2 linked regions of the Oryctolagus cuniculus genome follow. Each later gene encodes a partner of the first gene's protein in a complex. Links are inferred from orthologs where the notes say so. Each region holds a gene or a part of one and is shown in the gene's direction. Other genes may lie near its edges.

Evidence for each region.
Region 2: the proteins of SNAP29 (region 1) and VAMP8 are in contact, whole or in part, in a crystal structure (PDB 4WY4), measured with the Homo sapiens proteins. The link is inferred for Oryctolagus cuniculus from reciprocal best matches to the Homo sapiens genes SNAP29 and VAMP8. Residues at the interface, in NP_004773.1 of Homo sapiens: Leu206, Leu209, Ser210, Leu213, Leu216, Lys217, Ala220, Leu221, Met223, Gln224, Ile227, Glu228, Gln230, Asp231, Leu234, Leu237, Thr238, Val241, Asp242, Leu244, Asp245, Ile248, Lys249, Thr251, Glu252, Val255, Arg256, Leu258; in NP_003752.2 of Homo sapiens: Leu16, Glu19, Val20, Val23, Ile26, Met27, Gln29, Asn30, Arg33, Ile34, Arg37, Asn40, Leu41, Leu44, Lys47, Thr48, Asp50, Leu51, Thr54, Ser55, His57, Phe58, Thr61, Ser62, Val65, Lys68, Phe69.

Annotation. Positions count from the first base shown.
Region 1 is NC_091452.1:29,626,587-29,630,135, forward strand, and holds part of SNAP29 (synaptosomal-associated protein 29), read left to right. Parts: intron 1-280; coding exon 281-477; intron 478-3,549. UniProt on the Homo sapiens protein: SNAREs, soluble N-ethylmaleimide-sensitive factor-attachment protein receptors, are essential proteins for fusion of cellular membranes.
Region 2 is NC_091433.1:117,071,444-117,075,700, reverse strand, and holds the start of VAMP8 (vesicle-associated membrane protein 8), read left to right. Parts: upstream 1-1,451; 5' UTR 1,452-1,886; coding exon 1,887-1,889; intron 1,890-3,202; coding exon 3,203-3,358; intron 3,359-4,257. UniProt on the Homo sapiens protein: SNAREs, soluble N-ethylmaleimide-sensitive factor-attachment protein receptors, are essential proteins for fusion of cellular membranes.

The DNA of each region.
Region 1 (3,549 bases):
CAGTGGGAGACCCAGAAGAAGCTCCTGGCCTCAGATCAGCTCAGCTCCAGCCGTTGCAGCCATTTGGAGAGTGACCCAGCCAGATGGAAGTGCTCACTCTCTCTCTAACTATGCCTTTCAAATTAATAATATAAATCTTTTAAGCAAAAAATGATGACGTGCCCTTCACAGGTGACAGCGTCTGCCCCGACATGTGCTTCGCATTTATGGAGTACCCACATGTGGTTCTCATGGGCCAGGGAGAACTACCAGAAGGATAACTGCCACGTGTCTTTCCTAGGAGCTCGTCCGTCAGCGAGGAGTCTTAGAACGCACGGAGAAGATGGTGGACAAGATGGACCAAGATTTGAAGACCAGCCAGAAGCACATCAACAGCATTAAGAGCATGTTCGGGGGCCTTGTCAATTACTTCAAATCCAAACCCGCAGAGGCGGCCCCTGAACAGAATGGCACCGGCACCCCCCAGCCCAACAGCAGGTGAGTGTAGCAGAAGTGGGCTTTGGCGTGAACGGAAGACTTCCAGGCCTTGGCCGAGCCATGAGGGGATTCAGGAAGCCTGTAAGTTATACTTCAGGAGGGTTTTGTGTTAACCCATCTTCCCACGCCTGATTATATGTATTTGATTGGCACCTAGTCTGCAGATTGTGCATAAGTTGGGTTTCCAGTAAATTCCTGCTATACTGATTGTCACCCCAGTACTGAGAGTGTTCACCTCAGAAAGTTAGATCAGGCTGTAAGGGACTCCCTACACAATATCTGTACTTTATTTTTTTAAAAGATTTATTTTATTTATTTAACAGACAGAATTACAGAGAGAGGTAGAGACAGATAGAGAGGTCTTCCATTCGCTGGTTCACTCCCCAGATGGCCACAATGGTCAGAGGTGTGCCAATCCAAAGCCAGGAGCCAGGAGCTTCTTCTGGGTCTCCCACGTGGATTCAGGGACCCAAGCACTTGGGCCATCTTGTACTGCTATCCCAGGCTGTAGCAGAGAGCTGGATCAGAAAAGGAGCAGCCAAGACTAGAACTGGCGCACATGTGGGATGCCGGTGCTTCAGGCCAGGGCTTTAACCCGCTATACTGCAGAGCTGGCCCCAGCAGTATCTGTACTTTAAAAAGTCATTTTTCCCACCCAGGTGTTCTACATATAATTCAATTTGCCCATTGCTTTTCACTTTTTTATTTATTTTCATTTACTTAAAAGATACAGGGGCAGACACTGTGGCACAGCAGGATAAAGCCCCAGACTGCAGCACTGGCATCCCATATGGGCACTGGTTCAAATCCTGACTGCTCCACTTCCAATCCAACTCCCTGCTAATGTGCCTGGGAAAGCAGTAGAAGACGGCCCAAGTCCTTGGGCCCCTGTAGCCACGTGGGAGACCCGAAAGAAGCTCCTGGCTTCGGATTTGCTCAGCTCCAGGCATTGAAGCCATTTGGGAAGTGAACCAGCAGATGAAAATTTCTCTCTGTCTCTCCATAACTCTCTTTCAAATGAATAAAAACAAATATTTTAAAAAATAATACAAAAGGCATAGAGGGATTTTTCCATCCACTGGGTTACTCCCCAAATGCCCACAACAGCCAGGGCTAGACCATGCTGGAGCCATGAGTCAGGAATTCCATACAAATCACCCACAGAGGTGGCAGAGCAATAAGGCCTTGAGCCGTTGTCTGCTGCCACCTGGGAGCCTCAGCAGGAAGCTGGACCTGAAGCAGAGGAGCTGGTCCTCAAACCAGCACTCTGCTGTATCGGGCTGTAGTCTTCCCTGAAGCTGAGTGGGTCTGGGAAGAAAGGAATGTTGGTAAAGAGCCAGTAATGGTAGCAGAGAGAAGAGGTGGGGGAGGCTCCGGGCGTCTGGATCGGACACTGCAGGGAGGAAAGCAGGCCTCTGCAATGCCCTGGGGCTACTCCCGTAGATGCACCAGGGTTGATTTGTCTGGCTTAGGCCCAACCACCACTTCGCGCAGATTTTCCAGCTTGACCCTGATTTTAATTAATTACTTCTGAGATTTATTAATTCATTTATTTGAAAGGCAGAGTTACAAAGAGAGAAAGAGGGAGAGACAGAAGCAGAGATTTTGCATCTGCTGGTTCCCTCCCGAGATGACCATAACAGCCAGGCCTGGGGCAGATTCAAGTCACGAGCCAGGAACTTCATCTGAGTCTCCCACGTGAGTGCAGGGGCCCAATTACCTAGGCCATCTTTGCTGTTTTCCCAGGTGCTTTAGTAGGGAGCTGGATCAGAAGTGGAGGAGCCGGGACTCAAACCAGCACTCATAAGCGATGTCAGCATCACAGGTGACAGCCCTACCTGCTATGCTGCAATGCCGGCCCCGACCCTAACTTTAAATCCCTGTCACTCTTTCTCATAACAGAATTGGGTTTTCCTTTGGCTGCTTTTTTTTTTTTTTTTTTTTTTTTTTTGACAGGCAGAGTAGACAGTGAGAGAGAGAGACAGAGAGAAAGGTCTTCCTTTTTTGCCGTTGGTTCACCCTCCAATGGCCGCCACGGCTGGCGTGCTGCAGCCGGCGCACCGCACTGATCCGATGGCAGGAGCCAGGTACTTATCCTGGTCTCCCATGGGGTGCAGGGCCCAAGTACTTGGGCCATCCTCCACTGCACTCCCTGGCCACAGCAGAGAGCTGGCCTGGAAGAGGGGCAACCGGGACAGAATCCGGCGCCCCGACCGGGACTAGAACCCAGTGTGCCGGCGCCGCTAGGCGGAGGATTAGCCTAGTGAGCCGCGGCGCCGGCCTTCTTTGGCTGCTTTTAATTATAGATGAGTATCCCTCATCAGAAATGCTTGGGACAGAAGTGTTACAGATTTTAGTTTTTTTTGGATTTTGGAATATTTGCATAGACTTTACCAATTGAGCATTCCTAATTCCAAAATGCTCCAAGATCTAAAACTCAGCAGCGCTCAAGAAGTTTCAGATTGGGGGCAGGGCAGGAGTTGTGGCACCGCAGGTTAAGCCACACTTGGGACACCTACATCCGATGATGGAGCACCAGTTCAAGTCCTGGCTGCTCTGCTTCTGATCCAGCTCCCTGCTAATGCTCCTGGGAGGCAGCAGAGATGCAGCGAGTCAAGTACTGGAGTCTGTGCCACCCACCTGGGAGACCCACATAGAGCCTGGCTCCTGACTTCAGCCTGGCTCAGCCCTGATTGTTGGTCGTTTGAGGACTGACCCAACAGATAGAAAATCTCTTCCTCTCCCTCTGCCACTCTACCTTTGCAAATAAATAAATCAATCTTTTTCTAAAAAGGTTTAGGGTTTTGGAGCATTTAGGATTTTAGGTGTTCAGGCTAGGATGCTCAACCTGTGCCACAGGAAAGGTAGGATGTTCATTTAGTTTATTTTTTTTTTAAGATTGATTTATTTATTTGAAAGTCAGAGTTACACAGAGAGGAGAGGCAGAGAGAGAGAGATCTTCCATCCCCTGGTTCACTCCCCAAGATGGCTGCAATGGCTGGAACTGTGTGATACGGAGCCAGAAGCCAGGAGCTTCTTCTGGGTCTCCCCTGTGGGTGCAGGGGCCCAAAG
Region 2 (4,257 bases), on another chromosome or scaffold:
TGGTTTATTCCCCAAATACTTGCAACAGCAAGCCTGGGCCAGAATAAAGCCAGAAGCCCGGAGCTCCATCTGGATCTCCCATGTGGGTGGCAGGGACTCAAGCACTTGGGCCTTCATGTGCTGCCTCCCAGGCAGTAGCTGGAAGTTGGATGGGAAGTGGAGTAGCCGGGACTCAAACTGGCACTCCGATATGGGATGCAGGTGTCCTGAGCTGTGGTTTAAAAACTGCGCCATAATACTCACCCCCCGAGACATTATTCTAACATGCCATCAACATATGAAATTATGAATGCGATATTTCCATTCTTCTTTTCATACTACGTCTTTGAACTCTGGTGTGTATTTTACATTTACAACACATCTCAGTTCAGACTGGCCACATTTCAAGTACTCAACAGCCCAAGTGGTTAATGGCAACTGGTCTGGATGACACAAGTAGAGACTAAGAATTCCACTCCTCCTCCACCTGGCCTTGTGGCAACCTGAGAAGGGTGAGGCAGCCATGTTTCTTTGCCAAAGCAGGCTGGTACACACTTTGTTTCCCAGGCTATTTGTCCTGGCCACTAAAATTCATGTCTGTATAATCTAATAAACTTACAACCTAATTGGGGACAAAATTGTATTTAAGTTAGAAAAAAGATGTCTCAAGACAAAATGTATTAAAGACTTTTTAAAAGCACTGGTTTGAGTCCCGACTGCTCCACTTTATATCCAGCTTCCTGTTAACGTGTTCGGGTAGGCAGCAGAGGAAGGCCCAAGTACCAGGGCCCCTGCCAGCCACATGGGAGACCTGGATGGAGTGCCTGGCTCCTGGCTTCAGCCTGGCCCAGACCTGGCTGTTGCAGCTATTTGGAGAATGATCCTGCAGATGGAAGATCACTCTTATTCTGTTTCTTGTCCTCTCTTGGTGTTCTGCCTTTCAGATAAATCTCTCTCTCTTTTTAAAAGTATGTGTTGGTGAAGTTGATATTTCCTCTTTGGAACTGCCATTTCTTCTGGGAAGAGGCAAGAATGTTTGTTCCCTTCTGCAGGTCCCTGTTACTGTTCTTGTGTCTTGATAAACACCATCCAGGAAGAGAGGATTTTTTTTCTGGCCTTTCTCTGGCCCAGGGCCAGGTTGGTGGAAAAATCCTTTGCCCTGGGTCGTCCCTGTCTGGTTCATTGGGCTGTCCTCTGACCACTGATAGGGTCAGCAACCTCCCCCAAAACACACACACACTGTCCTCCCAAGGCACATGCAAGGCAATTGGGAAGGGAAGGGGAAGGGCTGGTGGGCCATCATTTCCTGATTACTTATTTTGTTCAAGGCACTGTCAGGCACATTGTGTGAGCTGTCTTTTACTCCTTTGCACCTGCAATACAGAAAGAGGTGAGGAAGTTCACTAGGCAGCATGCAGCCGGTAACCCTGAGCTTTCTGACACCCGAGCCTGGGGTGACAGCATTCCAGACTTTTCCCAGTGTTTGCAGTCCTAAGTACAAGGGCTTCGGCAAGATCTTGTCACCTCTGCACCTGTTTTCACGTGATCTCGGCCCGCAGGGTGCTTAAGACATCCCAGACATAAAAAGGAGTCTGTCCCGCCTCAGGAAACCTAGGAAGGTTGCTTGATCTTTGCTTTGTCGTTTCTGGCAAGTGGCAAGACCTTCGGTGCCCTCCCGGGGAGCCTTGTGGCTTTAAGTTTAAGCCCTGGTTGGGTGGAGACTGGGAGGGCGGGGGCGGGAGCCCGCCTACCTGAGGAAACCTGCGTTAGGTGTGGCGCGAGCGCAGGGATGGAGGTGGGCAGGGGCGGGCTGAAAGTTGGAGCAAGCAGGAAGTGGAGCGAGGGCTGCCCGGGAGGAAGCAGCCTGGGTGAGCTCCGCCGCTGACGGGCCCCAGCGACTCGCAGACATGGTGAGCGATCCGGACGGGGGCTGCTTTCTAAAGGGGGCTGGGGACTGGGGCTTGGCCTTGCCGAGAGGGGAGGGTGCGTGGTGAAGTCAGAGGGCTGGGGCCGGCGCTGTCTGTGGCCTCTCTGACAACTTGGCCGCAAATACTTCTGAGCCGCCTGGGCGGTGTTCCTGTCCCTGCCCCACTACCTCCCTCCCCTGGCCTCCGTGCTGGCCCCGAGCAGGGCCGCGGTGGGGGTTGGGGGGGCGTCCGAATTCCAGGCAAAGAGTTGCTGCCACTTTCTGCCGCCCCCCGCCCCCGCCTCCCCTGGCAGGGACAAACTGGGTGTTGTGACACCGCTGGACAGCAAGCGCCTCTGCTGTTCCCGGCTCAGATTCCAGGCCAGCGGCGGCGGGAGTTCTCCCACCGGGCCTCCCGCTTTCTCCCTATGCAGAAACCCAAAGGATCCCTCTGTACCGCGTCTAAGGAAGCAGCCGGGGGCCTGTAAAAGACCCATAAGTTGGTTCTCTGCGATAATCCAGCTTCGCCCCACACCCTTGGCAAGGTTCTGCCCCCCCCCCCCCCCGAGGGCCAGGCTGGGAGGCCTGTTTTCCCTCCTTGATCAAAAACCTTATCATGAACCCTGCAGGATGAGGCAGGCAGCAGGCGGGCAGCACTTGTCCTCCATTTCCCCCAGCGCCCAGGTGCCTGTTTTCACTTAGTATCTGCACAGGCTCTGCTGAGAGGTGGGGAAAGCAGAAGTGTGTGCTCAGCGGATCATGGCGCCGTGTGAGGGACTTGTTGGCTCTGGGTCATAGCCATGGAACTAGGGTCAGGCTGTCCAGGAAGCCCCGGAGCCGAAGCAATCCTCCAGCAGCTGTCCGGGAGCCGGAGCAGGCTTGGGCCAGGTGGGGCGTCCTGCTGGCTGGCACTGACAGGTTTAATGAAGACTCAGGGGGGTCCAGGAAGCAAGGGAGGGCTCTAGGACTTGGTAAATCGCGGGGGGTCTGCGCTGGAGGGGGACATTGTGAGATGCCAGCTCTGCAGTGCCTGCGACCCCATGAGGAGGAGGAAGCAGCCGAGAGGGAGTTAGCCATGCTGCTTTCTTCCTTGCCAGGAGCCCTGGGAACCCGAAAGTTTGAGTGATGGTGTCCAGCATCAGATCTCACCTGCTGGGGCTTACAGATGCATTAAAGCAGGAAAAGATAGTTTGTAAACAATGCAAGCATTGTAAAGGCTGACGTCCACCTGAGGCCTTCCACTGCCCTGGCCTCTGTGGCTGGGTCTCCCTCTGGTCCTCTGTCACTTGGCCTAATTAGCCCCTGTGCTGTGCGCAGGAGGCGGCCAGCGGAGGCGGAGATGACCGAGTGCGGAACCTGCAGAGTGAGGTGGAGGGAGTCAAGAATATAATGACCCAGAATGTGGAGCGGATCCTGGCACGAGGAGAAAACCTGGACCAGCTGCGCAACAAGACAGAGGACCTGGAAGCCACTGTGAGACGGGAAGACCCTGGGACCAAGGGAGGGCATGGTGAACGGGAGGGGCGAGGCTCTGCTGTTTCTGTTGCCTTTGCATCTATTTCAGGAATTGGCATGAGCTGGGTCCCCATTTCCTATTCTGCTCTGCTCCATTGATTGGTATGGGACCAAGGAATGAGTCTGATGACTGGGGTTGGGGTGGGGTGACCCACAGAGACATTTTCTGAGGCACACAGGTGGCTCAGTCAGCCCGCTCATTTTACTGTGTAGTGGTAAAAGCTGCTGCCTACAGTGCCAGCATCCCATGTGGGCACTGGTTTGTGTCCCGTCTACTCTTAGCTCTCTGCTATGGCCTGGGAAAGCAGTAGAAGATGGCTCAAGTCTTTGGGTCCCTGCACCCACTTGGGAGACCCAGAAGAAGCTCCAGGCTCTTGGCTTCTGATGAGCCCAACTCCAGATGTTGCAGCAATTTGGGAAATGAACCAATGGATAGAAGACCTCTCTGTCTCTGTCTCTCTCTCTACCTCTGCTTCTCTGTGACTCTGCCTTTCAAATAAATCAATCAATCTTTTAAAAAAATACATTTACAGAGGCCGGCGCTGTGGCATAGCCGGTAAAGCTGCCACCTGTAGTCCTGGCATCCCATATGGGCGCTGATTTGAGTCCCGGCTGCTCCACTTCTGATCCAGCTCTCTGCTGTGGCAGAGCATAGAAGACTGGCCCAAATCCTGCACCCATGTGGGAGACCCAGAAGAAGCTCCTGGCTTCAGCCCAGCCCCGGCCATTGAGGCCACTTGGGGAGTGAACCAATGGATGGAAGACTTCTCTCTCTGCCTCTCTGTAACTCTGCCTTTCAAATAAATAATAAAATAAATCTTAAAAACAAACAAACAAAAAGATTTACAGAGAGAGGG